Drosophila melanogaster: one gene and its partners. The protein of the gene in region 1 interacts with the protein of each later gene in a biochemical or structural test. Each region holds a gene or a part of one and is shown on either strand. Other genes may lie near its edges. The genes, in order: Su(H), Kdm5 and N.

The links.
Region 2: the proteins of Su(H) (region 1) and Kdm5 form a complex in vitro, tested with the Drosophila melanogaster proteins (one study listed by BioGRID).
Region 3: the proteins of Su(H) (region 1) and N form a complex in vitro, tested with the Drosophila melanogaster proteins (4 studies listed by BioGRID).

Annotation. Positions count from the first base shown.
Region 1 is NT_033779.5:15,035,341-15,046,513, reverse strand, and holds Su(H) (suppressor of hairless), read right to left. Parts: upstream 7,027-11,173; 5' UTR 6,578-7,026; coding exon 6,194-6,577; intron 5,420-6,193; coding exon 4,539-5,419; intron 4,481-4,538; coding exon 4,273-4,480; intron 4,208-4,272; coding exon 3,896-4,207; 3' UTR 3,180-3,895; downstream 1-3,179. Other genes in the region: ck (crinkled), read left to right, coding at 1-426, 489-635, 704-824, 894-1,100; CIAPIN1 (cytokine induced apoptosis inhibitor 1), read left to right, coding at 7,739-7,874, 7,964-8,460, 8,529-8,642; yellow-c, read right to left, coding at 8,786-9,463, 9,523-9,928, 10,718-10,950. UniProt on the Drosophila melanogaster protein: Transcriptional regulator that plays a central role in Notch signaling, a signaling pathway involved in cell-cell communication that regulates a broad spectrum of cell-fate determinations.
Region 2 is NT_033779.5:5,994,472-6,004,063, reverse strand, and holds the start of Kdm5 (lysine demethylase 5), read left to right. Parts: upstream 1-4,562; 5' UTR 4,563-4,766; intron 4,767-6,299; exon of another isoform or gene 6,300-6,381; intron 6,382-7,278; exon of another isoform or gene 7,279-7,350; intron 7,351-7,532; 5' UTR 7,533-7,573; coding exon 7,574-9,035; intron 9,036-9,177; coding exon 9,178-9,592. Other genes in the region: Gal (beta galactosidase), read left to right, coding at 1-302; Tsp26A (tetraspanin 26A), read right to left, coding at 2,327-2,395, 2,471-2,587, 2,795-2,905, 2,981-3,259, 3,320-3,400, 3,465-3,752. UniProt on the Drosophila melanogaster protein: Histone demethylase that specifically demethylates 'Lys-4' of histone H3, thereby playing a central role in histone code. Does not demethylate histone H3 'Lys-9', H3 'Lys-27', H3 'Lys-36', H3 'Lys-79' or H4 'Lys-20'.
Region 3 is NC_004354.4:3,133,066-3,142,883, reverse strand, and holds the start of N (notch), read right to left. Parts: upstream 8,015-9,818; 5' UTR 7,217-8,014; coding exon 7,057-7,216; intron 1-7,056. UniProt on the Drosophila melanogaster protein: Essential signaling protein which has a major role in many developmental processes. Functions as a receptor for membrane-bound ligands Delta and Serrate to regulate cell-fate determination.

The DNA of each region.
Region 1 (11,173 bases):
CTTCGAAGTGGACAGCTCCACTCGAGCGAAGGATTTCTGCAACAACATCTCGCAGCGCCTTTCGCTGCGCACCAGCGAGGGCTTCTCCCTGTTTGTAAAGATCGCGGATAAGGTCATCTCTGTTCCCGAAGGTGATTTCTTCTTCGATTTCGTACGCCATTTGACCGACTGGATTAAAAAAGCGCGTCCCATACGAGATGGAGCGAATCCGCAGTTCACTTACCAGGTCTTCTTCATGAAGAAACTGTGGACGAACACAGTGCCAGGCAAGGATCGGAATGCCGATCTTATATTCCACTATCATCAGGAGTTGCCCAAGCTGTTGCGTGGCTATCACAAGTGTTCCAGGGAGGAGGCGGCTAAGCTGGCCGCTCTAGTCTTCCGTGTGCGCTTTGGTGAAAATAAACAAGAACTGCAGGCCATACCGTAAGTACAGATCATTCAATTAAGATCGAGAACAACATAAATAACGAAAAACTACTTTTCAGACAAATGCTGAGGGAACTTATTCCATCGGATATTATGAAAATACAGAGCACTAGCGAATGGAAACGATCGATTGTTGCATCTTATAACCAGGATGGGGGCATGACTTCCGAAGACGCGAAGGTGGCCTTCTTGAAGATTGTATATAGGTGGGTATCTCAACGTAATCATATTTATAGACTTTTTTTTTAACTACCTTTCTAATATATTTGAACAGATGGCCAACTTTTGGCTCCGCTTTCTTTGAGGTGAAGCAAACCACCGAACCGAATTATCCCGAAATGCTATTGATAGCCATTAACAAACACGGCGTGAGTCTCATACATCCAGTGACCAAGGTGAGAACTATAAACTATATAAATCTATTACAATATAAACCAAGAACATGATACATTTTAAAACTTCAGGACATTTTGGTTACGCATCCATTTACACGCATCTCGAATTGGTCATCGGGCAATACATATTTCCACATGACCATCGGAAATCTGGTTAGGGGCTCGAAATTGTTATGTGAAACGTCGCTGGGCTACAAGATGGACGATCTGCTGACTTCATATATCTCGTTGATGTTGACCAATATGAACAAAAATCGAACCATTCGAGCCAACTAGTAAAACCTACACATAACGCAAAATATTTATAATAATTATAAATTACAATTGCAATAACTTATAAAAGCCTAGTACTTTATAGATTTAAATCATACTTAATACCCACCTCCCTTTATTCCAATTGCATTCCCTTCCCAGAGAATTCATTCCAATTTTGGTCTTGTTCAGCTATCGATTATACCAAACCAACTTGCAACTTTTGTTTTTAGTATTTGTATTTGTATAAATTTTTGCAATTACACGTTTAGGTATTCTTATGGCACATTCCGGTTAAATTATTAAATACAATGTTTTTGTATGAAGAAAAGGTCTTACATATTTTTAGATAAGCATTTGTATCTACACATATTGCATCTATATCTTTGTATATCCTAACTGCATATCTGTACTGATGACGTTTTGTATCAAATACATAGAAATGTTCAATTATTTAATAAATTATATACAAATTATGTGGTCTTTTTAATAGAATCGGATGGAAGGTAAGGTCATCTCATTGACCTGGATTAATGCAAATTTCATTTCGATCAACGGTTAGAAAATTATACTTCGGACACAAACAAACGTGCAAACACGTAGTTAAATGTCTTAAGTTCATTTCGTTTAGAAACAAACAAACGAACTTTGGACACTTAATAACACTTAACTTGAACAAATGCTTGTGACAAGTCTTGAAAATGGGTTCGTATAGAACAAACCAATCTATTTTAGACAAAAAATGCTGTGTAAGCACAAGTGTTAATAGTTCATTAAAGTCATTAATAAATAAAATAATTAGTCTTATATAAATATCTTTGTTAAGTAACAACAATGGAACTAAACAAGTTGAAGTAACGGTTACGACCGACCCCTATAAACTTTGAAAATCCGATCGATTTTGCCATCGATTTACCAATCTTGACCTACGGCTTTGGATTTACCGCGCATGGAAGGGAGTACGTGTCCAAAGTCTTGTGAATACAAATTTTTATAGGACTGGATTATATAGTTTCCCTTGATTTTCTTGCCTGACTCCCACGCCACCGATTTCCCACGCATTGTATTTTGCGAGAATTTCCATTTTTCCCCAGCGTGTGAAAAACGGCAGCAGTCGGCACGGCAAGCTAAAGACTAAAGACGACGGCAGGTAGACTTAGATTTTTCAAGATAATGAACTTTTTTAGTAGACGGTATGAGGTTGTGTAGCAGTCCTGAGAACTTTTAGAAATTGCTGTCTCCCCCTTTCTAAAAACGACCACAATCATCGCACTCGCCTATCCAAACAGTGGTGGAGAAAGAGGGCCTGGGGAAATGTGAAGGAATTGTTCATTAAAAATTCCAAACTAATTTCATATTCAGCTTCTTATAAGACGGCGACGACCTTAAGAGGTTGCAGTTCCAATTGCCAGAGCCAGAACTTTTGGTGGTGGTTTTTCCATCATAATGAACACAGGCGGCCGCCAGTAGTTTGATTCCTCACGCAACCAAAGTTCGTTGTTTAAGTCTTTCGTTCCCATCGCCCGGTGCAGTAAAATCTTAGGGGTTGCAGCCAAGTTCCTATTGGCTGACTCTGATAAGAAATATGTCTCCCAAGTGCAAGATGAGATTAAATGCTTGGCCAGCGCTCACCTTCTGATTCCGTCGAGCGGAAGTGAGCGATAATTAATTCAAAACTGCGAATCTTAATTTGTAAATCTGTAAAGACAGCAGCAGCAACGAATGCATAAATATTCAACAAAGGCAGTAAAAATTCTCACAGCAGCTCGGCAGCGGCTTTTTGGGCTGTGAGAATATTCTGCTCCTTAACTTGGCCAAAACGGAAACAATAGTGTTATATATCTATGTATATTTGCTTCTTAGCTTCGCGTTCAGCAATTCCAGACCAAACTATAATTAAAGTCGGCCCGTCCGAGGGGGTTGAGGCAAACCATCGTGGGAAGAGCTGCACTTGTTTTGTTTAAAAATATTCACACGATACTGGGTAATATTCCCACAGCAATTTAAGGCAACCAATCCTCCCCAGCGCTCCACCTTAGGCCACAGGAAAAATGGTGAACCAGAAGAATCACGCTAAACCAAAAACATAAGCTGACATGATTTGATTATTCTTTGTCATCATTTGGGATTTCTTTTTTTTATTTATGTTAGGCATTTCGCTTACACTTAAATAAATCGCTGTTTTGTCTTGTTGCGATTTTATTTTACAAAATATTTTATTGGGATTTTTAATGCTACGAATTTCCAAAGTTAATAAAAAAATGCAACAAAACTGTATGTACAGAAACAAATTTTTCCCTTTTTGACTTTGTCTTCGACTTTTTAGAAAGCTAAAGAGGGAAATGGAATGTTTTTGTAGCGTGGCTACTGGCTTGTGTATAATAAAAATTTCCGATGCATTTCGCAGTATTTTTTTTTTTCATTTAGATCTTTGGAAATTCATAGCAAAGAAAATCATAAATATTTCAACCGCATCTAAAAATCGTCTATAAACTTACATCAATTGTATATTTAACTAGAATTACATGTTTTGTGTAAAGGTATATTCATGCACATACAAATGTATGTATGTATGTCAGTGAGCTTTTCGAGTTATGTACAGAGTTTTATGTGTCATTTACAATTCTATTGGTTCCGAACTAGCACTAGATACATGTGTAAAGTATGATTCACTTTAGAGAGAAGGGGACACATTTTGGTTTACGTCACGAGGGGTTGAAAATTAGTATGAGAAAAATTGTCAATCTACAAACTAAGGTCTTCGATAAAAACTATAAATAACTTAGGATACATATGTGTGCGATGCAATAATCCTGCACTCAGGATAAGCCGCTACCATGACTATTCCATTGCACTTCTGAGATGGAGGGCAGAGCCTGATGCTGCTGCTGTTGTTGTTGCAAGCCACCGCCGGCTGCCGGCGATCCCGCATTGTTGCTGTTATTATTGTTGCTAATGCTAGTGATGTTATTATTGTTATTGTTCTGTCGCGCTCGCATCACATCCTCGGCCTGTGTATTGCAGTGCGGCCGAGGACCTGGTTCAGGTGTATACGTGAAGGTCAGACCGGTGGCATAAATTATTCCATCGTTGCGCACCAGCGAAATGGGCACCTGCGTGGGCTGACGTACCTGCAAGGACCATTAAAAGTAAAATTTATAGCGCGTATTAAACAGATTTACATTGGAAAACCTACCCAAAGCCATTCGCCTCGAAATTGTGAAATCTCCGGCACCACGCATAGCAATGTCTCTGTGCAGCGGTACATGGTTTCCGCCTCCACATCGCCAAACCACACCTGCAGATGCGGCGTAAAGTTGTCGCCACTCAGCTCTAGCATGGCCACATCCCCGCCGCCATTGAGATTAAGGGAATTAACGATTGGCACTGGAGTGACTGGAGAACTGGAAGAAAACACGAAATGAAAACTAATCCATTGAGTTGTAAGTAAGCTATACTTACGCCACAGGACCCATGCCCTCGTAGAACTGGTACTCAGCCTTGTCGGTGGATATGATGGTCCAGCAGGCGCCGTCATTGATCATCTCCTTGTTCGGCTCCTTGGGGCACGGCGTGGCCTGGAACTGTATGATTTTCTCCTGCGACAAACAGAGATACATCCGATCCGTATCCTTCATGTAGAAGGCGCATTTGTGCAGCTGAGAAACGGGATCGTCGGCTTCCAGCAGGGCCATCTGCTTGTCTACCTTCCGGATGATCAGACGTGGCAGGGCCATGCCCGTTACGGAGCACACCAGTTTGACTGTGGCTCCGTAATGAATGTAACCATCGCGCACCTGAAACTCCTCCGACTCGGACTCATTGTCATCCAGCAGGTGTATCGTAAAAGCTCCCCATTGTGTTGACGACGCATGAAAGTGTCCGTTCTCCACGTGAAGGTAACGGGTGGAGACAGTCTGGGAACGCAGGCGATTGAACAGGGCTACATTGGTGCCGCTGGCTATGCACAGATCGGCATTCTTTAGCGACTGTTTCTTTTTGGACGGCTTGGATATAACCTTGATCCGTTTCGAGTTAAAAACGCCAATGTCATGACCGTTTCCGTAAAACATCTTCACCGACAGCATAAAGTGTTTTCGCTTGTCCGAGTCCGAGATGAAGAGCGTCTTGGCCGCACAGTACTGCTTGCCATTGAGATCCAGCTGCTGCATATCCTGGTCACTGCTCCCGATACCGATGAACGCGCATAGTTGTGCTCCCTGTTCGCCCTCGCCCTGCTGCAACATCTCCTCGTACCGCCGGCGCCAGCCACTTCCGAACAGATAAATGCACGGCGGTGGGCAAAAGAATCGCTTCTCATTGCCATAGGACTTTTGGGCCACCTGGAATTCACACAGACAGACAGACAGAGGCGCACGATGGTGCAGGGAAAATTCAATTAGTACAAATTGCCGTCCAGATTATCGGAAAATCATATCAAAACCGCAAGCAATGCAGCTTTGTTAATTTTCTGTAATTAATTTCAATTATTTTCATTGCGGACTGGACCGCGCTCGCGTTGCTCAATTTGCGGGCAGTCGAGTGTGAAGGATTCCCATTTGGCGGCAGTCGTCGCTTGAAGATCGCCACCGCTAAAAGCAACCGCGACAATTTTATTCCATTTTCATGTCTGCGTTCGCCAAAAACCGCAAAAATGTAACACTTTAAAGTGGACAATGGAAACACTAGCACCTTTAAATAGTGGGTGTGGTTTTGGCGTTGCGGACTGACCGATTAGATTAAAACTAAATTATAAAAAAAAAATAAATATCTTGTAAAGCATACAAGTAATTTTCAAAGAAAGGATACATCGTTAAACTTGAAATAGAAAGAAAATCTGAATTTAATCTATTTAATCTAAAAAATCGAATAATTTAGGAAATCGACGTACAAAACTGACCAAGTTTCTAATTTAAATGAAAGTTAGGATATCCTACGTTTCTCCAGTTTGGGTTAATATATTTTTAGTAATATTGAAATAATGTATTTCAAGCTTCAAATAATTTAATTAAGACTTAAGACTCAGGAGTTCCCTTGTATGTTTTAGAATATCTTGAATACTAAATCCAGACCAAGCACCTGATAATACCGGCTTAAAAGTGGAAATCCTTTCGTACCTTGGCGTGCAGGATAACGATGACCATGTCGTTGCGCTCGCGCATGTACTTCTCCATGGCGTCCCGCGTGAGCTTCTTCTCCTCGATGTGTGGCCGGTAAGGACCCGGCAGCAAGGACATCTGCATTTGTTGTTGATGCTGCTGTTGTTGTTGTTGTTGTTGCTGCTGCTGCTGCTGTTGGTGGTGCACTTGCAATTGTTGTTGCTGCTGCTGCGACGACGGCGGCTGCGGACCGGGCAGTCCAAAGTGCGGCATATCCTGGCTCTGTTGTTGCTGCTGCTGGTGAGGATCGAGGGGTGAGCCGTTGGGATTTACAACCGTAGTTTCGTAGGCAATGGCGGGCGGGGCGGCGGCGTTTAAATTAAATTGGCTGTAGCTCTTCATTTATGCACATGTCTCCTTGCATTGAACTTATTGGAATTTTGTTTGGATCTTTTCTATTATTTCGTTTTTGGCTATTTGGCAAATTCGTTTGGCACTTTATACACTGTTCGCTGGTGCTGTTTTTGTTGTTGTTGTTGCTGCTGTATGTTTTCTATTTTGTTATCCTGCTGCACAAACACACACGCAGAGCAGCTGTCGTTTCTCTCACGCACTCTCTTCCTCTTAACCGCGGATTGGCTTTGTTGTTGTAGCTCAAGCTGGATTTGCGGCTAGCTGCGATTCACGACTAATCACACATATTTCAGCGTTTCGAGCAGATCTTGACTAGCGACTAGCGGTAGTGGCGGCTGGCTTCTGTTTAAGGCTGCAACTAGCGCTCGAGTTATATTTATAATATGCTACAACTAAAAAAGCGACTGAGGATGTTGATGTTGTATCGATAGTCCGATAGGCGCTTATTTATGATAGTCGCTGCCTACCGGCGATATGTTTGTCGCTTCACAGCACTGTTGGTTGGATTTGGATGGCAGTGGGCATTTGGTTATTTTATAGCCAATTTGGAGTAGCTAATATATTTTGTTTTAACTTTGCAGTTTCTGAATACATTTGTATATTTATTCCCATCACATCACTGTTAAAGATATTATTTCTTATATCTATAAATACTTTTAACTGATGCGAAAGGTATCGATTTTCATTGAACACTTCGATTTTGAGCGCCCACATTTAAAATTCAAGGTACAAACTACCAACCTTCTTGTCTAACTGTCCATGCATTTTTAAAACGGGCCGTGGGAAAGTACACATGGGTGAATTTAAAAGATAATTCGCGACTTTAGGCTTAAATGTAACCGTTTAAATAGGTTTAGTGGCAGAAACACACAATATGCAACTAAAAGCTGTTAATTATGTATCAGAATGTAAGCTGTAACTCATTAAAAAACGAATCTGGTGGAGTACACTTAGTTATTCATATATTTTAGCAGTCACAGTGTAAAGTGGAAAAATCTACAATCACTGAATATCATTTGCAATCCGATAGGCAGGTACAATCGATATCACCGCTCGATTTTCGGTGCATTGCCATATCTAACTTGTGAAATCAAAAATCGGTTCCGTTCGGTGCTTGAACTTTTGAGATATTCTAGAAACACATCCACAATGGAGAACTTTAAGGGTCTACAAAAATCCCTATACATATGGACGGACAGCGCCGACTTGGACAAGCGCGTGGAGCAACTAAAGGCGGCCACTGGCGGCGATGTGGCTTTGGAAAATGTGCACCGCCTTTCGTTTTGTAAGTTGCGTGCGGTGCGGTGTGTGTGTGCTGTTTTTGACTAGCCAGTGAGTCAGCAGATTAAAATCAGTGATGTTTATGCATTACAGCTTCCTATGCCAACTCCAGTTTCGACCTGATTGTGATCGAGTGCGCCCAGCTGACCGACAGTTACGTAAAACTGCTGCACATGCTGAAACCGAGTGGCAAACTGCATTTGGTGTCCTACATCGGTCCGGCGGCTAGTTTGCTGCAGGAGATCAAGCTATCCGGATTCATAAACTGTCGCGAGGACTCTCCAGATGCTTTGACCGCCGAGAAGCCTGGCTACGAGACAGGATCCTCAGCCAGGTTGTCATTCGCAAAGAAGAACGCCAGTGCAGTCAATGTGTGGAAGATAAGCGGTGACGATGAGGAACTGATCGATGAGGAGGAGCTGCTGGACGAGGAAGACAAACAGAAGCCGGATCCGGCTGGTCTGCGTGTCTGTAGCACCACGGGCAAGCGCAAGGCGTGCAAAAACTGCTCCTGCGGGCTGGCCGAGGAATTGGAGACTGAAAAACAGAGCCAGAAGGCCACCGAGAATGCCAAGTCAAGCTGTGGAAATGTGAGTTCTCTTAACCCCGATGTGAGTTAGCATTAACCTCGATTATAACTGATTTCTTATATGCACAGTGTTATCTCGGCGACGCCTTCCGCTGCTCCACTTGCCCCTATTTGGGCATGCCCGCCTTTAAGCCCGGTGAGAAGGTGCAACTGGCCGACAACCTCCTGAAATCCGACATTTAACTTAGGCTCACCATGGTATACCCAATCAATCACATTTCAAATAGTTTATTAAGCTGACTTACTAACAAACAATAATGTCATAATGTAAATACAAAAATGCACCGCGTCATAAACACAGCATGTAGATTTAAATATCCAAGTGATCACATTTCGCATGGTGTACCCTTGATGAGATCGCGGTTCTGGCCCATCAAAATACGATAGTTGACGGCCGAGGGATCGAGTTCCTTGTACAAATATGTCGGCATCTTGTCGGACAGCACCCAAATAGTGCCTTCATTGTCGATTTTCATGTCATTTGGAAAGACCAGAGTGTGCGAATCGGAATCGATTAGCCCCTGGGTGTCCGGAGTGTATGGACGCTTGATGTTCCAACAAGCAATGGCGTCTTTGTTCACCTGCGTATAGAAGATGACGCCGGTCTCGGGGTCAAAGACCTCGGCGGTGGACTGGCCATTCATGCCACGGTCACCAACGTATTTAAAATCGTAATACGAATCGCCAGCGGTCACGTGTGATTCGTTTTGCAGCACGCGGTTCGAAACCTTGAACTCCTTGGTACTGGCCAGGGCATGGAAATAAATGTCCTTGGAGTGATCTGGATTCATTGGGCCCACGGCCAGCCCAAAAACGCCATCCGTCCACTGGAAGTTCACGCCGCCCACATTGAAATCACCATGCAGAGGATCGAAGTGGAAGAAGTTGTGCTTGACGCGGTAGGATTTGTCGTTCCTCAGGGAGTACACAATCACACCGTAGGCACCCAAATCCGGAATGTAAGCAAAGGCATCTTGGCACTCCGAGCGGTCCGCATCCACAACCTAAATATTGATTAATTCGATCAGTTTGGAATTTAAATAATACGCCTATGCATACTCACAATATTCGCAAAGAACGAGTCCTCTTTGGTCTGATCAGCGGGAATGGTGAAACGGCGCAGTAAAGTATCTGTTTTCAAGTCGAAAACCAGGATTGAATTGGGCGTAATCTGCTTGGGACTGCCCAGGATGTCGGCCAAGCCAGTATCGAGCACCCACAGGCGATCGCATACGTCGACTTGAATTCGGAAGGTGGAAATGACAGTGGAGTTGTCCTTCAGCTGGATGCCGGCATCTTGAGCCTTGTCCGCGTCCAGACGTCCACCGGATGGTGTCTTTTGGTCCTGTGGCTGCACATCGATGGGCAGCTTGTTGGCCTCCCAACTGGGATACGGATGCAGCTTTGGCGACTTCTCCGTCGAATTAATGTCGATGTAGTTGAGTGTGGCAGCAACACCAGCCTTCCATCTAAAGGGAAAGTAGATCATTTAATAATGAGGAGAAATAAATTAACTAAAAAATTTACATTTCAGACTTGTTTAGTTACTAATTACATTTAAACCTGACACTGGCAAGTAACAAATTAATAACATTAAAAAGTACCATTCACCTGCGCAATTATTATGACTGATTGGATATAGTCTAATATAAGCTATAGTTTTAATTTATATCTTAGCACTATCAGTTAAAACTTTGACGGCAACTATAGCTTAAATAATTATGCTGTATTATCAACAAAATATACTTTTTTTACGTATCTTATTTTTCGAAATGTTTTTAAATCGAATTTTGTTTTGATTACTCATATCTCCCGAAAAGCAGAATGGTTTTCGGGGCTTTTTGGCCAATAAGCGCATCGGTGGTAAATCCCAAAAAGGTGACGTCACAAAGACTTTGTTTACTAGTTACCTAGTTAGCCTTTTATGGGATCCATAATATTCCATAGAATTTTCCGATCATGTGTTTTCTCTTATTAATTTATAATTAACCTCATGTTACGATTTGCATTTAGAAACCACGATTTAAAATGCAAAATAGACATACACAAATGGGGTAAAAAATGATAAAGTTAACTAGCCAGCGAGGAAACCGGTTTCCCCTCCTGACGCTCGATGATTTTGCAAGTCTAGCTTGACATTTAATTACAAACCAAGCCAACAAAAAAGGTAAATAATAAGAAAAAAAAAGAAAACCTAACTACAGCTTACCGTAAGTTTGTTGTCTCTTTTTTTTTTGTCTATGAATTTGGTTACTTACCTTGGCACAGTGACAAAGATTCTGTTTTGCCAACGCTCCACGCCCAGCGGCAGGTTGTTCTCCACGATGTAGTGGCCATTCGACTTGGCCTCCGCCTCGGCCTCCGGAGTGGGCCAATCGAAGGCCAGTTGCTTCCACGAGAACTTCTCCTCCAGCTTGGCCGATGCAATCCGGCTGAAGGCGCCGATAAGGCACACCATTAAGCCCAGGCTCAACATTCCTAGTGGGTTCATTTTGGATTTTTCAATTATTCGATTTTTTTTGGATTGCTCGTTTCTTTTTTTTTGGACCTCCGTTCAGTTCGAGTTGAGCGCGCTAACTGCAAGAGCTTAGTTTGGAATCGGGCTTAATATGCTGGCTTGGATCCCAAACAAGCGGAGCTTTAAGCTCACAGTACACAGATATTCGATCCCGTGGAGTTATAAACTGTTATACCAAGTGCCCAGCTGCAAGTTA
Region 2 (9,592 bases), 9.0 Mb from region 1:
CAATACTCTACACTGGCAGCCTGACAGTGACGGAGGTGGGCGACACCTATTTGAACATGGCCGGTTGGGGCAAGGGCGTGGCCTATGTGAACGGTTTTAATTTGGGACGCTACTGGCCTGTGGCAGGTCCACAGGTCACCTTATATGTGCCCAACGAGATACTGAAAGTGGGTGAAAACTCTCTGGTGATCCTTGAGTACCAACGAGCGAATAAGACAGCAACTGGCGAGGATCTACCTGCAGTGCAGTTCGACGCAGTTGCTCAGCTGGACGGAGAGTCTGGTGATGTTCCACTTAAATGATGAGCCTTGTATGCATTGTTATTCCGTATTTCTTTATTAGAAGCGTTTTTGATTGATACTTGTGTCAACAACCTTCGTTAAGCTTTATTATAAATTTTCTAACTCTTATAAATCTATGTTTATATACGCCTTAATAAATGCTGTTGATCTGTGCTTGACTGACTCTTATCGATCTCCAGCTTATTTTCAATTGACTTTTTTTCGTTACCATTATAGCAGAATGTTAACTTTTTTGCTTTTACACATTATTAATCGTACTATGTTCGTGATTTTATTGGCTTAGTAATTTAACATTGCACATGAAAATTTGGCCAGATGTTTATATGGAAAACTCTAAAGAGGATATACACCCAATAGCTGCCATAAAGTTAACTTTTTACATATCCAAAAAGTGTATTAGCTGCCACATCTGGCCAATTGCTCAGTTGCAAGTGTACATACAAGATTTTTGGGCATATTTTGTATCATTAATAACATTCTATGTACTTATGGTTTTTAAGGTAAAAGCATTTTATTATAACTATCGTCTTTTTGAGCATTGCAGCAATGTAGGCGTTGAGTTTCGACTTCTATTCACGTTTAATATTGAACAGCAATAAAAGTATGAACTGTTTTATAAATACAAGTTTGCAGACTGAGTTCTTAAAGTTTAAGACAGTTTAGGAAAACGTTTGGATACTGTTAGTTGAATTAGTTATCGTTTTAAACTGACTAAGATTGGCAAATTCTTTAGTTATCCAATTGTCAGTTAATTGGACCTTTCAGCTATTTGGTGAACACAAAAACGTAATACTCTGTTCGGGGCAGTGTTGTTTATAATCTCCATTGCTTTTGATTAGAATGTTTGCGAAATAGTATAAATAATACTAACATTGGAGTTTTCCAATACTACGTCTCTTTGCAATATAGATTTAAAAAGGTACAAGAGCGAATCAATGTTTTCCTTGTGAATCATGTTACAAGTGCGATATCAAGCAGTTAAACCAGCAATTGGCTTACTTTTTACTCAATTATAATTGCGTGTTGCAAAAATATATTCATATGCTGTAAAGCTTACCATTTGTTGTGCATAAATTTAGTTCAAGCTCATTAATATTAATATGCAAGTGGTATTGCTTTCTTCCATTTTACGATCTGTGATATTGACATTTGTCACAGAACTGTGTTTTTTGTTTCTCGCTTATAAAAATAACTATTATTTTGAAGACAAATATGTGTTGTGCTAGGTTGTATTTGTTCAGTTTAGGAATGAGATTCGTGGTGTGATCATTCGATTTGTTGGAAATTGTTGCATTTAATTTCGATTTCTCTATACTTTTCTTTAAAAATATATCACAGCTGCATTTCAAGATAAATTTTTCATTTTTCCTATGACTCCTTTTTCACTTTCTTTGTAAAATGTGTAGAAAATCTATTTAAAATGTTTTGCTCTTCTTTTTCTTATTTGTTCTTGGGCTAAAGGGAAGCCGACGTAAAAACAGCAACAAATTTGGCAACCTAGTTAATATTAGTCAATGTCCACGAAGACGGAATGCGTTTGCTTTAGTTAGACACATAGCGTACTCTTGAGTATAAATGGGGGTATGGGTTAAACTGGGTCGATTTTATGGACGCAAAAAATAGATAAATCGTGGGAGAGAAACCTAATCAATGAACATTTTATGCCAATATCAATATACAACGTGTGTCCCGAAAATCAGGGTTTACCATAGGCATTTGTGTTTTCTGATCAAAAGCGAAGGGTGAATCGTAATTTCCGGAACATAGTTACTTTGGCAATAGCATTAGGAATTGATCATTGACTAGATTCTATCAACGATTATCGTGCATCCAAATCGATTCACCCTAGTATGGGTTTACAAGGAATTTATAGTATAGTTAACTAACCGGAGCGTAGATGAGTAGATACAGATTCTTATTTTGAAGTTGGTGGATGCTCCATGTGGCTTACCTCGAAGTTTCCCAAATCCTTCGCCACCTTGGGTGTCCTTCTAAATGGCCGTGGGAGCAGACAGAGCCATTTGTCAGTGCCACTTTGACTTTTGAGTGTAGATATCGGCACGCAGGTTCTGAGCAAAGCAAATGCCCAAGATCTACAAAAAGTGTATCGTTACAAGAAGAATCTATCTATTGTCATAGTGAGAAAAATAATAAAATCAAACAGAAACCTGAAAAAACATCACAACTATAACAGTTGCGGAAATAATAATCAAGTTGTGCTCCATCCATTCTTCGCCTGCTTGAACACAGCCCTTTTCGTAGATTATTTTGGACAACTCCATGCCCTGGTAAGAAATTAAAAAAATAAAATAAATATAAAGTCTGTGGGAAATTATAAAACAAAAAGATGTAACTACTACGAGTAAAAACCATATTTTTAAAAAAAATGGGACCACCTTAAAAACGATTCTCTCATCTGAACTACACTAAACTTAAAATTTTCAAAGATTCAAAAAGAAATATACAACGACGACTATAGAAATGTTTTGCACCTGCAGGACGAGCAGAGCCACGCAGCCAATCGCCACACTAATCAGATGGGCCTCCAGCCAATCCTCGCCAGCGCGCAAGCAGCCACGCTCATGTATATTCCTATCCACCGGCTGCATGCGTACGATTCGTGGGTGAATTTCAATATGCATTTCGGAAAGACGGGGGAAAACAGCTAGCGGACTTACATATCCCTCCTTGCGTACATCGTAGCCGCATTGCTTGTTCTTGATCACCTCCTGCGGACGTCTGCGGCAGCAGGAGAATGGCACTCCGCACGCCTCCCTGCTGCCAATAGCGATAGACGAGCAATTGAAGTAGTTGTTGCTGTCCCAGTCCTTGGGACCATCAATGCCGCAACACTGCAACCAATCCTCCTGGATCCAATCAATGAGATTCTGCTGGTCTGCGTCCTCGCGATAGTGGCGAATGAAGGCCTTGAGTCCCTCGGTGGCCTGGTCTTTGATCTGGAAAAGGCAAACCTTAGTAATGGCTGGCTAGAATAGTGGCCTTCAAATGGAACTCACCCAGCCCTTGTCCTTGAGCACGAAGGCCACGGCACAGAAGCCGATCTCTGCGATAAGCAAGACACTCAAGAAGATGGCGTACTGCAAGCGGAAAAATAAGGATTAACTAGGTCCAGAGGGGATCCACTAACAATGTGGTACCCACCGCCCCCAGGAGGCAGGTGTTCTCGCGCAAGGCGCCCACGCTGCCCATGAAGCCCAGTAGGAAGGTGACGCCTCCCAGGATGATCAGGACGAAGGCCGGGTCCAGGGCGATGAAGTGCAGCCGCGCAATGTTGCGGAACATGCCCTTCTCGCTCCAGGCCCAGATGCCAACGGAGAGGACCAGCAGGGCCGAGAGCCACAGGATCACATTGCTGGCGAACAAAAGGTACTTCAGACAGCAGCTGATTTCACTGGTCTCGCGGCGGAACTTGCGCACAGCAGCTGGCATTGCTCCAATTTTAACAATAATAAATATGGCCAAAAGGAAACAAAAACGTATGAAATTCTGCTCGCCAGTGTGACCGTGACTGCACTTTTTTTATCACGCAGTGCGACGGCTCCAAATACGTTGCAAAGAATACCGTTTCCCAAGAAAACCGCCATTTTGTTCAATCTTACGAACTTTAAAACTTGGATGTTTGTTTTTTTTTTATTGATCTTGCATAAACAATGTATTTTACAGAAACCAGTTTGCGTATTTATTTCATTTTCTGCTGATTTGTTGAGTTGAGCAACAACAATTTCATAGGCATTACCGTTAACTAAATACTTATGTCTACTGGTTATTTTAAATATATTATACAAATTCAAATTCTTAAAGCCAAGGCTTAAATTAACACACAGTATTCTAAAAACAATAAAAGAGCTCACTTACTTATATTAATAACTTAGAATATAATTCACTCTTGTAGAATGCCAAACTTTCTTTTTTTAGCTTACCACTGTATTGAAACACATTTCATAAAATTAATTAAAAAAGCGTACTTAGGAAACCTTGCGTATATGCTCGATGGATCCTATGGATGTTTCAAGTCCTGTCCCTGAACCGGCATAGTGTTAAACGCGGCGCCGGCTAGACTGAGTAACGCCTATGACCGAACTGATTTTGAATCTAATACAGAAACGAAACAATAAACGGGGGGTCGGCGATAAGACGAGATCCGATTCGTCGACCTCCGCCGATAAGAAACTGTGTTTGATTTGAAGGCCAGTGCTGCACAACGCGGACGGTGGCTGGTATTTTCCCGAACTTTTGTGGGGCAGATCGACGTTTCCGGCACTTCGACGACGGGTCACACTGGACACATGTAGCAGGAAAAAACGCAGACATCGGAGAAAGAAATCAGAAAAGTAAATTCGCATTAAAGCCACCTCGCCAGTGCCGTGCTCGGTGGTTTTATGGAACACTCATTTCGATCACATACCGAGCGTGCGCGTCTTCCAACGACTTCCTATGACGACAGTGAGTTTTTGCCCAGTGTAGGGTGCCCAGTTCCCAGTGCCCGAACCCAGTGCGATTGTGTGCGTGCCAGTGTGTGAGTTTAGGGGCACTTCTGATGGCTGAAAACGTTTAATTAGCAGCGAAAAGCGAACAAACTAGCAAAACGCAGACGCCCACCTGGCCAAGTCGGTGCATATAGATCAGGAAAAGTGCGGATTGCAGCCTCTGCGTTGGCCAACAGCGAAAACAACCCCCCGCACTAGTCGTGGAAAATGTTTGTATGTGTGTTCCCTCTGCTGGCAGCGCAATCGGGATTCCGAAAATCCGTAATAATTGTGAAAATGCGGCCAGAAGACAACGCCAGGTCGCGGCTAGGTTAGGAACCACGTCGCGGATGAACGGATTACGGTGGAAAACCGCGGACGGAAAATCGCGCACCAATTGCACACGCCAGCAGAGCAGCGACAGCGCTGCAAAGTGCGTTGCGTCGCTGCCCGGTCGCCATCATAGCGAAAAATATTGTGATCCCACGCCTGGAAAGCCAATATATGCCACTGAGTTTAGTGACTTTCAAGTATATAGTGAATATATAGCTCCAGTCGAGCTGTTCGCGGGGAGTTACTATTCGAAAAGTACAGTGCTGCAGTCACCTTCCAAAAAAAAAAATCAGTTCAGCTTTTCTGTTTCCGCTCACCGCCACTCCCCCCACCGTTGGAAATGTGCAATATGGCAGGGCAAATGCGTAAATTTTGCGCTCCTGCTGGAAAGTAACCAATATCCAGTGCTAATTTCGCCAAATCCATCCATATTTATGTACATGCTCGGTGCGAATGTGTGTGCCTGTATTCGCGTACCTGTGTCTGTCGTGCCCCGTGTCCGTGTAAGCTGTTTGTTTGTGCCCGTGTAAGCTGCGTGCGGGTGTGTGTGCGCGGCTGAAAATGGAAATTATATAAAAGAAGCTTTCGGCTTAGGCTGCTTTTCCGAGCGATCGGCGGCCGCAGAACGGAAAATCAGTTTCCCCCGTCCAACACTAACAGCGAACAGCTGGCTGCAGTTTGGAAAATGGCACTTGTCACGACGCCGTGCTGCCCAATCAATAATCCGAAATCGCAATCCACCGATTTTGATTTGGAACGGATTCGCAGGGAAATAATATCCCATTATCCCGAGCAGAGCAGCAAACGTAGCATGCCTCTGCCGGCGTCGCTGTCGACGATGTACTTTGCTCACTTGATACACAAAAACGGTACTCGTCGTCGCTCATCTCGCTCTCTCTAGGCGAGAGCGGGCTCTTCCTGATCAAGCACACGGGAAACTATACACACACACACATACGCACGCACCGCCAGTCAGTCAGGCAGGCACACATTGCCCACCCACTTCTACTCCCTTTTCGGTGGTGGCAGCAGTGGCAGTGGCGCCCCACATTCGTGCGAGAGTGTGTGTGCGTCACAACAACCACCAAAGCAAAGCTCTGTCGCGGCGGCTTCCTTGTGTCTAGCTGACAAACGCGAAAAATCTGTTGGGAACTCCAGCCGGAAGTTGGAGTTGACAGTGGTTTTCAACATGGCTTCGTTTCCGCTTCTCGATTTCGTCAGCTGAATTCGTAGATAACAGCTTTCACCTTTTGCTCAGTGTATGTGCTTGTGTTAGTGTGTGTGTGTGTGTGCATGAAGGTCCTGTGTGCTGAATGTTTTGAATACAATGCGTATAAGTATAATCCCCTTTTGCACACTTGGTGTATACATGTTCGCTATCGAATTTGTAAGTTTATTGGTCGCTATGTTATACATACACACGGCCAGGAAATCCCCCGTGTTCGTGTCCGGGGTTGTGCCTGTATTGGCGTGCTCCACTTTTGTATGCAACAAATTCAGTGCTGCTGGCTAATCGCCGCTGCACTCTCTCTCTCTCTCTCTATTACTCCTCGGGAGAAGCCACATCCCCCTGGAGGGAAACATGCGAGAAAGGCATTACTTCGCCTAGGTCCAGTGCAGTTGCCCATCCTGCGATCCCGCCGGCGGCACTGGATACAACCTCACAACCGAAGTAATCGTTTGGTAACTGCACTTGCACCGTCGCAAAGTCGAGTTTTCACCTCTGTAAATGTTGTTTGTTTACCTGCGAGGGTTGAGTGCAGGCACCACAACACATATACACACACACACAGGTGTGCGGCGATTTGATGTAGATACAGTGGGCCGCAGGGGTTCCCTCTCCGATCAATAGGAGCGGTAGGAAAGTCCAACTAAGACGACAGTTCTCTTGTGGATATTAACCAATTTAAATCTGTCGACGGGGCAACGAATCGTTAATTAATGCAAGGGGCGCGGGGCGGGAGTGTGTGTATCTGAAAAGCCACCATAATAGCTCTACCAACAACAAGTAACCCCTAGTTGTTGAAATATTTATATATATACATATATAAACTGCAGTAACTACAATTATTATTGAGTTATTGCAAACAAACCTTAGATAAACTTTCATTGGCTTAAAAGTCAAATTTAAATAACGTTGTAATTAGGGAGAATTTAATTGGTATATTATGCCGTTTAAAGTAGAATAAACAAACTGCCAATAAGCCGTTTCTTACTAGCAACTTTAGGTAATGAGTACTGTAGTTGAAGCTGAAATACAAAGTAGCTAAACTGCCAAGAAGTGTGTCTGCCACAATAATTAAATAACCGGGACAGGTCTTTCAACCCTAATAACGAAAACAACCTTTCCGGAGCGAATTTAATATTACCAAGTTGTGAACTCATCCGTAACTTTTATTCTCTATTTCAGAACCGAGCGGAATAAATTTAATCTGAACTCATCTTAAAGCTATGTCCGCCAAAACTGAGGCGGACAACACGACGGCCGCCAACTCCGGCGGCGGAGGAGTCGGGAGCGGCACCTCATCCGGCGGGGGCGCATCCGCGAATGGAACAGCAACTCCGGCACGTCGTCTGCGTACCCGAAACTCAACGGGCAACGGGACTAATAGTGGAAGTGAGTCCGTAAAGAAATCCAATGCTAACGACGAGCCCTCGACCCCAGTCACCCCGGCAGGAGCAACAGGATCTCACACCCATGCTCCGCCAGGCATTTCTCCGGCGGTAATGGAACGGCCTATGCCCAGTGTTCCCATGAATCACGCCAGCAGCAGTGTGTCAGCCAGCAAAAAGTACCATAATAGTTGTCCTCATCCCACGCCCACGCCTGCGCCCACTGGGCACAAGAAGTCGGTCCACACGCAGCCGCACAGCAGCAACAAGTTTGACCAGGGAAAGAACGAGGAGTTCCACTTTGACACGCCGCCAGAGTGCCCTGTGTTCCGGCCCACAACTGAGGAGTTCAAGAATCCACTGGCCTACATCAGCAAGATCCGCTCCATAGCTGAGAAGTGTGGAATCGCAAAGATCCTGCCGCCGGCAACCTGGTCGCCGCCGTTTGCAGTGGACGTGGACAAGCTACGCTTTGTGCCACGTGTCCAGCGGCTGAATGAGCTCGAGGCAAAGACGCGCGTCAAACTCAACTTCCTTGATCAGATCGCAAAGTTCTGGGAGCTGCAAGGCTCTTCACTAAAGATCCCAATGGTGGAGCGAAAGGCTCTCGACTTGTACACACTGCACCGCATCGTTCAGGAGGAGGGGGGCATGGAGCAAACCACAAAGGATCGCAAGTGGGCCAAGGTGGCCAACCGGATGCAGTACCCCTCAAGCAAAAGTGTTGGCGCAACCCTGAAGGCACACTACGAACGCATCTTGCACCCCTTTGAGGTATACACTTCGGGAAAGGTTCTAGGACCCACACCAACGTCGTCTGGATCTGGTAGCACACCCGTCAAATTGGAGGACGGAGGTGGAACCGATTACAAAGCCCATGAAATTCCCACACGGCAGCAGATTGCGCCGCCCAACGAGACAAACACACGTCGCTCCAAGCGTTTCGGAAATTCCAATGCCAGCTGCGGCCTGAGTGGTGTTACACCCACAACAAAGCCATCAGCGGGCGTATTTGTCAAGACGGAGACCAAGGAAGAATTTAAGAGGGATCTTCTCAGCAGTTTCAATGCTGTCAACAGCGGCGGATCGCCATTAGCCACAGGTACTACGGCAAACACTCGCGGAGCCAGCCAGAAGAAGGGAGGAGAGCCTCCAGCACTTATCGTAGACCCACTGATGAAGTACATTTGCCACATCTGCAATCGCGGCGACGTCGAGGAGTCAATGCTGCTTTGCGATGGCTGCGACGACAGCTACCACACCTTTTGCCTGTTGCCGCCTCTGACCAGCATACCCAAAGGTAAAATTCTTATCAAAAAGTTTCTAACAAAAAAACCGTTTTAAAACTTAAAACAACTCAATTTTACATTACGTCGATTAGGAAGTTACAACCGTGTCTCATGCACTAATGCGAATAAACCTTTTCTTTTTAATCGTTCTAGGCGAATGGCTTTGCCCGCGCTGCGTCGTCGAGGAAGTAAGCAAACCGCAGGAGGCGTTTGGTTTTGAACAGGCAGAGAGGGAATACACTCTGCAACAATTTGGACAAATGGCTGACCAGTTCAAGCAAGAATACTTCCGCAAGCCGGTGCACTTGGTGCCCACTGAGATGGTGGAGCGCGAGTTTTGGCGCATCGTGTCATCTATCGATGAAGACGTTACCGTTGAGTATGGGGCGGACTTGCACACAATGGATCACGGCTCTGGTTTTCCCACTAAGAGCTCGTTATATTTGTTGCCGGGCGACCAAGAGTATGCAGAGTCAAGCTGGAACCTTAACAACTTGCCGTTGCTGGAGGATTCCATTCTTGGTCACATCAATGCCGACATTAGCGGCATGAACGCTCCGTGGATGTA
Region 3 (9,818 bases), on another chromosome or scaffold:
GATTGTTTAGCAGGATTGTTTATAATATAACCTAATAGAATATATTATGAACTTCATTGTTAACATTGAAATTGTCTTTGATAATGAAACTAAGTGTGGTAAGTAGAAAAAAAACCCATTTACAAGACGCAAAACTTTTCACAGTTGAGCGCTGTTTCCACTTGATGATCATCACTCCGTTTTCCCCCGCCGGTTTTCCACGACGACTCGCACTTTATTTTCCCACACGAGAAGCTCGGATGATTAGCATAATGCTTAGCCAAATGAAAGATAATATTATGGGAATAATTGACCTACCCGACGATGTAATTGAGTGCATGATAAGAGGGGGGGTTGGAAAACGTTTTGGCAGGGAGGATGAGTGATAAACAGCCCTCCGGAAAGGAAGGACACACAGCTGCAGTTGTAAGTAATCTATATGCATGTACATAAGTATATGGTTTTTTTTTTCTTGTATTTTTGGTAATTGAAGTGCACTTGAAAACATATGCGACACTTTGACAAAATCCGCCCTCGCCGGGGCAAAAACATATAAAATGCGTGCAGAGAGGGAGAGAGCAGAGAGAAGAGAAGAGGGAGAGAGTGAGAGAGCAAGAGCTGGAGTTCAAGAGGTCGAGGCTGAAGGAAATGCGCGCCAAACTGAAAAAAGGCCGCGCAGGCGCACAAACAAAAAGGGTTGTTGCTCGGAAATCCATAAAAATAATGGCATATGAGTGATATTGTATGGAGTCTCCTCTCTCTCTTTTACTCCTCTTGTCTATATGTACTTTAAATAAACTGAAGCATTTAACACTTCCGGCAGACAACAAAGCAGCGTGTGAATGTTTAGTTAAAGTTCCGAAAACGACAAAACTGAAATGGATGAAAGAAAGAAAAAAAAAAGGCCAGAGTCTTCAATTCATATTTACTTTCCACCTCTGCTAATTTGTCAACGAAGGAACGCCGGTTCTTCTGGCGCCCTAGCAAATGGCCTTATGCAAATGTCGCGCAGGTTGCCAGCACTAAGGGAAAAAGTCAAAGAGAAAGATGCATCCGCGAGATATGGCTACTAATCAATGCTAAGTGAGCGTTCAGATGAAGTGGAACGCAGTTGCTAACAATCATGCAGCCATAAAAAAACTGGACTTTAAATTCCAGATATGTACATATGTACCTAAAATCGAAACTTAGTTATCTTATATTTATAGTTAAAACTTCAAATCGTTCGTTTGGGAATCGCAAGCCAAAACAGAGACATCCTTCTTACATATTTCCTTCAAGATTCTCATCTTAAGTACTTTATAGAGCCAGCGAGTGTCAGACGCTTGAAATTTGAGATACATTTTCAAGTGGCAGCTTGAAGCATGTGTTTATCTCAGTGTTTGTGTATCCTGCAGTTTCAAAGGGGCCTTTTATTTATCTTAAGGATCTATCAGGGTATCCAGTTACCTTTAGAATGTATCTAACCTTTAGCTGTACGTGAGCAATAATAGTTTTCCAATTTATAGTTATATAACCCATATCTGTCAAATTTGCAATTAATTCTTTTATCTTTGCTTATGTTTTGAGTGAGGGTATCTGTAATGATTCTAAGACTCCCAAGACCACCATGAAAGAGTATCATTCGCCATCATATCGTCCCGTATCTTTCTGCATGGCTTCTTCCTTCGACCAGCGATCATTACTATTATTATTATTATTATTATGCAAGCCAAAGTATCTATGCATCTCTTAAAGTCAAACCACTCACTTGAGCTTGGACCGATCTCTATTCTCCCTCTCCCCCAGATGATTCTCAAACACGCATGTGAAGAGAAAAATATAAAGATGGAGACGGAGACTGAAAAAGACAAGGAGATGTCGGCGGAGAAGTAGGAAGAGACGACAAAGTCGTAGCAATTTCAGTTTCAACTTGAGAAGACGACGAGCACACGATCGGCGACTGTCGTCGATCCGCTCAAGTGTATATAATGATGATTGTCATTTTTCATTGCCTCCTCCAAAAAACAGGATAGAAGACGGAAAAGAGACGGCTATATAACGAGCAATAGAACGAGAAAGGGATAGGCCAGAGTCGGCCTGGCCAAGAACATGAAGTTTTTCTATGCCAACTGATTGCGTTTGCCCAGGAAATCGTAAATTTCTTTAATGACAGAGACCAGGGCATCGAAACGAAATTTCATTCGACTTAGCATACAACAGCAATTTTCAAATTATTTTTGAATTATTCTTATTGTTATTAAGGTACTGATATAATTATAAAATATTTTCAAGTTTTATATTCTTATAACAATAATACACGAGAAAGTATTGAGGAAAATTAAGTTTTTTTTATTATATTTTCATATTTACTATTATTAAGATCGATATTTTTCTACCGCTTTTCCACTTTTCAAAGACCGACCATATGAGAGATCTGTCTGTATAAGAGTATCGGAGTAAATCGCATGGGCAACATAGGGGGATTTCTAGGGGGCGTGGCAGGGGCGCAGCCTAAAAGCCCAAAAGCCTGGAAGACAAAAAGAGACCGGGCCAAAAACGAAGAAGAGAAACCAAAGCCAAAACCCAAAGCCAAAACCAAACCAAACAAGACACTTTGGGTAATATCTATAAAAATTGCTGTTGGTGTGTGTTTCTTAGAAGGGGGCAGGGGCGGGGGCGAAGGGGCGGGGCTGGGTCGAAAGGAGGGGTTCTTCTGAGGTTGTCAGCCTTTTTTTTTGTTTTGTTGTACCACTCAGATACTTCAAGAACAAGCCACACAAAGGAGAGAAGACCAAAGAGACCAGCCAAGAAAACCCAAGAAAACAGAAGGAAAAAAAAAAAAAAACTAAAAACTTGTTCGGTCAGTGCGTTCGTCGTCTCTGTTTGTGTGTATCTTGTATCTTGACTCGAATACTATCTGTGTGTGAGTACCTGTATCTACCGACTCGAAAATGTACATGTGTTGGCCATAAAGAAAACTCATTAAACTGGCCATGGCAGAAAGAGTAAGTCAGGGCGCACTAATTCGCCTGGCCATCATTAAAAGTCAATAAAAGCCGAGAAGAGAAGAGCAGTGTAGAGTGTAGTGTAGAGAGCCAAGTCAAGTTAAGTCAGTTCGAGCCAAGCCAAGACGAGCTGAGATTTAGAATCCATACAATCCATGGATTTTTCTAAACGGATTTAATTGCAGCCGACACATGTGAGGACTGTTTTCATAATTAGTTTGGCCAGCAAAACAGTACATACATATCTGTAGAGAAGAAAACCTCAATTCATTCGTTGGCCATTTGAGGCATTTTCCCAAGACAAAACTTGGAAAGTAGTTGTCAACATATATAAACTAGAGAGAAAGAGAGAGAGAGAGAGAGAGATGGGCTGGGAAAATGATTTTCATGTTTATGCAATGACTATGGGAACAAATAACAAATATCAGCCAAGACAGAGCGCAAAAACATTGTGGATTTCCGGAGAGCAAAGATTACCGAGAAGAAGACATTGCACATTGCCAAATGAAATTCTACCTGAAGAGCCTTGCCAATTCTGGTTTCCAAAGGTGTGTCCCGAAAAACAGGATCGAGCATCGAGCATCGGTATCGTCTGGAACGAAACGGAACGGAACTGCTCTGCCGCATATCCACCAATGCCATATCAAGTGACCAGGCAACAAGATTCCTCGACATCTTCTGCTTTACTTTGTTTTCTTTTTTATTTTTTTTTTTGAAGTTTACTTTATCACTTACAGGTTTTGTTTTTTTTTTTATTTTGGCCAAGCGAAAGGCAAGGAGTAACAGCAGATTTAACACTTGAGAAATTAGCCGATTTCATATACGAGTACCGTTTTTTAATTAAGTCTTCTTAAGTTACTGATGGGAAAGTTATATTTTCAAGTGATACTCCTGGTTTTTTTTTTTTGTCCCTGTTGGCCATCGTCGGCGGCGTCGATTAATTAATAAATGCGACAGTAAATGGTCGATAAGTGGTTGTCTCAAATTAATTGAGACGCCCAAATATGAGAGACTTTCACAATAATCTGCGTTTTTAAGTGCCGCGTCCTTGGAAATGGGTTTGCATTCGTGGGAATTGGCCTGGTTTTTTGCTTTAGGTGTTATAAATGCATCTCAGACATACAGTACAAAGTTATTTATATTGATGGAATTGAGGTATTGAGATTCGAATTCAATTTGAGTTGGTTATTAATGACTACCTTGGTTTTACTCACTAACTGAAGCATTCTTACCAATTGCTTCTCACATCTTTTAATGATCATTTAATGCATTATTTATTCAAATGTATAGTGTATGGTATTTATGGTATTTACTTAATGTTGCCTAGTTTTGACTTCATGTACTCTTCCTTTTTAAGAACATAAATCTAGGTATTGCTACCCTCATCTCTAGTTGATCCTTCAATTTAAGTGCCCTCCCTCCATTTTCCCCTCTTAAATTTTTATTTCCATTAAATTTGGTTGCAACTTTATGTGGATGATCCATTCCGACCATAAAGTGCACACTTTACGATCCATAACCATGGGCATGTTGGTTATGCATCGCCATACATGCCGACTTCATGCGCCAGAGCTACATACATACTTACGTATATATGTACATGCATATATAGTACTTTATGTAGTATATTTATATTGACTTGAAGTCTAGGCGAGGGCTAATTAGGGATCCGCCGTGTGCGTGACTTACGAAAGTCAAGAAATGTGTTTTCGGTTTTTACTTCTTTGGTTTTTGGGGTGCGCACAGGATATACAGGAAATAGCCGAGAGAGCGCGCAGATACAAAAGTATCTCTACTCTATGCCCGCTCATTTCCCTTCTCGCTCACGATACAAACAACAACACCATGCCGTGCGATGCCATGCCATAGCATATCGTAATTTGATCTTTGAACAAACAGCAAAAAGGACGCGCATGTGCAATATGCCAGGACTCAGGGGTTGCTCCTGCTGCTCCTGCTTCTCCTGCTGCTGTTTCACTTTTGGCTCCAGGAGCCCAGCTGTCGTTTATTCCAACTACATTCTTTCTATATGCGCCTGGTTGTGTACATATATGATGAAATCGAATGCGGTGGTTGGTTCTGGTTCTCGTTTCTCGAAACCGTTACGTGCCACATTAAACCTGCAAAAAAATAATACCCTAAATTTGTGGCTAAATGCAGGCGTTCGATCGCACAAAGTTGAACAAACTTGGATTGGAGCTAATGGGGCGTAAATTTGTGAGAACTTAATAGGTACAAAAATGTACATGAAGATTCGAGAGATTTTTGTTTTTTTTTTTGGTTTTTTTTTTCCATCTTCGAACACTTTTTTCTTAGCGCAGTAGTAGAATGAAGTGAACTGAATGCAAAGGATGCCCTTTTTGTTTTTGCAATATATCCTGGCATCAATTAACACTCTTATTATTACTACTTTCAGCATTTTTTTCACCTTTATATGCATATGCATTTGTATACTTTTTTATACCGTTTATTTAACTTTTACTACAACTTCCTTTGGCTAAAACTGCAAAGATCACACGATTACCCATGGCTAATAAAGCCAGAAAAAAAAAGAGTTTAGGAGGCGGAAACTCGAGCTCAGGAAATGCCCAGGTAAAAGTTATAAACATAATAGTTCAACGCTCTTCGGTTGCAGCTGTTAAAAAATATAAAAAAAATAGCAGAGATCATGGAGTGCGTAATAATAAAGTTGCCCAGTGCTCAGGGATCAAATTTCTAGTAATGATCATTTAATTGCTTTTAAACGTTTGATGGATTGATGGATTTCGATAGATTTTCGAATAATGAAACAACAAAAAATTCTCTGACATTATCAAATTTGTTTCAAAATACTATGATATCGAGCTGCATTCCCCATACTTTCTCATCGTTGAGCCGAGAATTCCGTCGAAGAGATTTCGAGTTCCATGGAAAGTTGACATTTTACTGGGGCAATCGACCCTAAGTACACCTACAACCGATCCGATCCGATCCGATACGATTCGGTGTTTGTTCAGTGATTAGACAACGACCGCTCCATATGCAAATACCCAAGTAAGCCCCATGTGCATGCGGCACAACACAGCGTGTGGAGGAGGAGAGTTCGCTTCCAAAGCTGGAAAGGAAGTTGGCCACTCACTACTAGCGAGCAAATAGCGCAGTGAGAAAACACAAAGGAAAGAGTGCCTAGAGTGCTAGGGGAATGGAAAAACTCGCCTTTTGCCGACGGTAAAAACGGTCTTTCTTGTTTCGAAAAGGTGGGTTTCCAAATCTGAGAGAGCATGCGCAGTCGGCGGAGAGCGAGACAGCGACAGCGATCGAGCGAGAGCGAGAACGAGATCAGCGAGACAACAAGGAGAGAGAGAGAGAGAAAGAGAGAGGAAAAAAAAACGACCACCTGTCCGAAAAGCGACAACAAAGCGAAGCCAAGGAAGACAGCGCAAAAGGAAGCGCGGTGAATACAAGCCATGAAAAGGAAGGCGAAGAGCGAAGAGGAGCTGCCCAAAAGGGAGACAAACGAAGAGGATCGAAAAGGGAATGGAGAAACACAGAGAACGCATTTGGGAGCGGATTCCGACGATTGCGTTTAAAGTGAAATTCTTTAAGGTAGGATTTGCAACAATCCTATAGGCTTATTAAGCAGATTAAGTAGCATCACTTCCTTTTTGGATTACAGTTGCATGGGTTTGCTCAGTCACTTATATGTGTTGCGAATGCATCCGATTTTATAGACCAACATTTCCTAGCTATGCAATGTAGCGATCTATCCAACGGGTTTAAGCGGAACTAGTCCAATGCAAATGTATGTATATTTTGTAATTGCAATTTTAGTTGTTTCATACTAAGTATGCTCCATTTAAAACTGACATCTAAGACCAAACAATTATGCGATTCAGTACTATTAGTTGAGATCCACATCTTTCAGCTATACAAGATCATCTTATCTCATAGTTTTGGTTCTGTAAAAAACCGTTCTTTGGCAAGCGTTTTGGAACGTTTTGAGCCTCCTGGAATTCCAGTTTGTGCACCCACCCTATTTTCGGGCGACCCCGCCTGTCACCCTGCCCTCCCCCCGCCTAGTTGTTCTGATCGGCGTCTCCGCTTTACTCACCAGTTCCGCGAACGGTGTTTGGCAAATTCGCAAACGCCAGCGTCAACAGCAGCAGAGGCAGCGACGCCGGCAGCGACGCAACGGCGTGCATTTTGTTAATCCAAAAACAAATCCAAGTGTTTGGTGCGCGACTGCGACGTCGGCTGCGCTGCGATTGCATTGTAATCCAGTTTTCCAGTTAACCACTTTTCCAGTTTTTCACCTCTACTCGCTTCTCGGTTTCTTTAGCGCTCCTCTTTGGTCTCTCTTTGAGGATATGTTTAACTGCGAGTTTAGGTTTAGTATGCTAGTCTCAGTAGTTTAAGCAATTTTTTGTTTTAGCGCGTTTGTTGTTTTTTTGTTTTTTTTTTTGTTTTTTATAGTTTTGAACTTCAGACTTTAAAGCTTTATTTGATAAACTAAGAGGAGGCACTCTCCCGACGACGGCGACATTTTCCGTTTTGAAACATAAAAAAAAAGTGGCAAAAAAAGAACGCTTTTCGTGTATCTTTTGCTTGCTTTTCTCTTCGCGAGGATCGAGCCACAAATTCAAATTCAAACCGACGCCGCACGCTTGCGTATTGCTCTCTTCCTCTTGCGCTTCTTGCACTCGGCTTTCGTCTCACTCTCACACACGCGCGACTCGAGGTAGATACACTTTTCGAAAATCCTTGTTTCTCTCCCTCTCTCTCTCTCGCTCTCTGTGTCGCTCTCTCGTTGCTATCCCTGCGACAGGCACTCCTTGCTCTTGCTGAACGGCTTTCCCGCTGGGGCCATCCTTTTCATTTCATTGCATTTGCTTGCTGTGTAATTGATTTGTTTGTATATCCTGTTGGCAGCGCGATTTTACGTGCGTTGTTGCACACACATTCAAAAAAAAAATAAATGTTGAGAACTGTGCTCTGCGCTTTCCAGGTTCGTCTGCCTAACGCTCGTCCGCTTTCACAACCGTTTCGTCCACTGGAAAAAAGCGATCTGTTTCAAATCGGCAGTGTGACCGCGTCGGTGCAAGAAAAAGATACCGTATGGCGGGGAGCCATTTTGGCAGCGCGCTCTTTCGCAGCGTTGCGAGATCGGTTGGTGAACAAATAACGTTAGCCGGGCTCCGAGCCGCTTGCATGAGTAGTTTCCCCATTTCGCCGAATGGCGCTTTAGTGCCGTCATAGCGGTATGTAGAAATTACGCTATGTAAAATGTAAAATTCGACAATGTAAGATTCGTAGAAATTACGCTATGTATAATGTAAAATTCGACAATGTAAAATTCGTAGGCACTGGAAAAAAATGTGCATAAATTTGATTGAAAAACGCACTTGTAGCATTTTTTAAGTATTTTATTTTCCTTTTGTTCTCGTATCTTTATTTCAACTAATTTGAGTTGTTCTCGACTTAAGTTAGGTTTTCCCGCAATACGTTCTTAGTTTTCATTTTCCGTACCTTTTTTTTTCGCAACTCCGCTTCCTGCAATTATCATACTTTACTTGGCTTAATAGGATTTCATTTGAATTTCATTTCGTTTCGTGTGTAACGTCTATATAATTGAACGCTTAATTGAATCGTTTGACAATTATCGAAAACAAAAAAAAATATGTAACACCATACTTATCTCCGATTTTCGGAACGCTATCCCAGTTAAAAAGCTCGGCGCAATTGGCCCACGGAAAGAATAGAATTAGATTCGAGTGTATAAATCAGTTTAAACGAACGGGCATTATTTTTAAGCATTTTCAGAATTACTTTAGATAAATACATACATATGTATATTCTCGAAAGAAACAAAAAATAAAATATGAAACAATAAATTAGTTAATTAATTACAGTATTGGCTTAGTGAATTAAGAACCCAACGAGGAATCATAAGGCAGCATTTCGTGTTAAAAATTGAACGCTTTACACTTAATTGCGTTTTTTTTTTTTTTGGTAGATCGCTCAAATGTTTTACAAATTGTTTCTAAGCTTTTTAAGTTTTTCTTTTTACCTTTAAAATTCTTCATTTACGTCTATAAATAGGCTTAAACCTAAACTAGGCAGACAAAAAAAAAAAATTACAAACATTCTCTCTAATCTTAGCTAGTCATTTTTTAATTCAAGCGTTGACATACACATTTATGCTCTATATATATATATATATATATATATATACGATATACAATATTTCATTTGCTTCTTTACATAATTGATTTAAGTTCAAATATCATTTACGCGCTTAGGGCTAGACAAAAAAATATTCAACTTTTCACATGGATGCTGAAATGCTGTGCCACTGAAAACCCGATCAAAAAGTTGGAAAGTGGGAACTATATATATATATATATATATATATGTTGGTGGTTTTTCTAATTTTATTCACTTTACTCGTAAATCACCAATATTTGGACATCTTTTTGTTTTTAGTTTTTTGCGGCTTGGGGATTATCGATTAAATTGCAATAATACTGTAGCATCCCGTAAAAATATAGTTTTCAATTCAATTTCAATTTTGTTTGTTTGTGTGCAAAATAATAGTTATATATGTTACTTTTGGCTCTTCTTGACCGGGTCACAGATGCAGCACAGCACTTAATCTAAATATTTTCTCTCACTGCATTCAGTTGGTTTCGTTTGATGTATACGTAATTAAGTCTAAAAAATTTGATAAATTTTGGCTTAGAAAATTGTTTTTGCTTTCTGCTGCTGCTGCTTTACTTTTCATTTTCGTTTGCTTTTATATTATTATTATTTTTGTTTTTTTTTTTAGTTCCAACTAACTACACAGGCTTTTTGTTTTGTCATAATGTATATAAT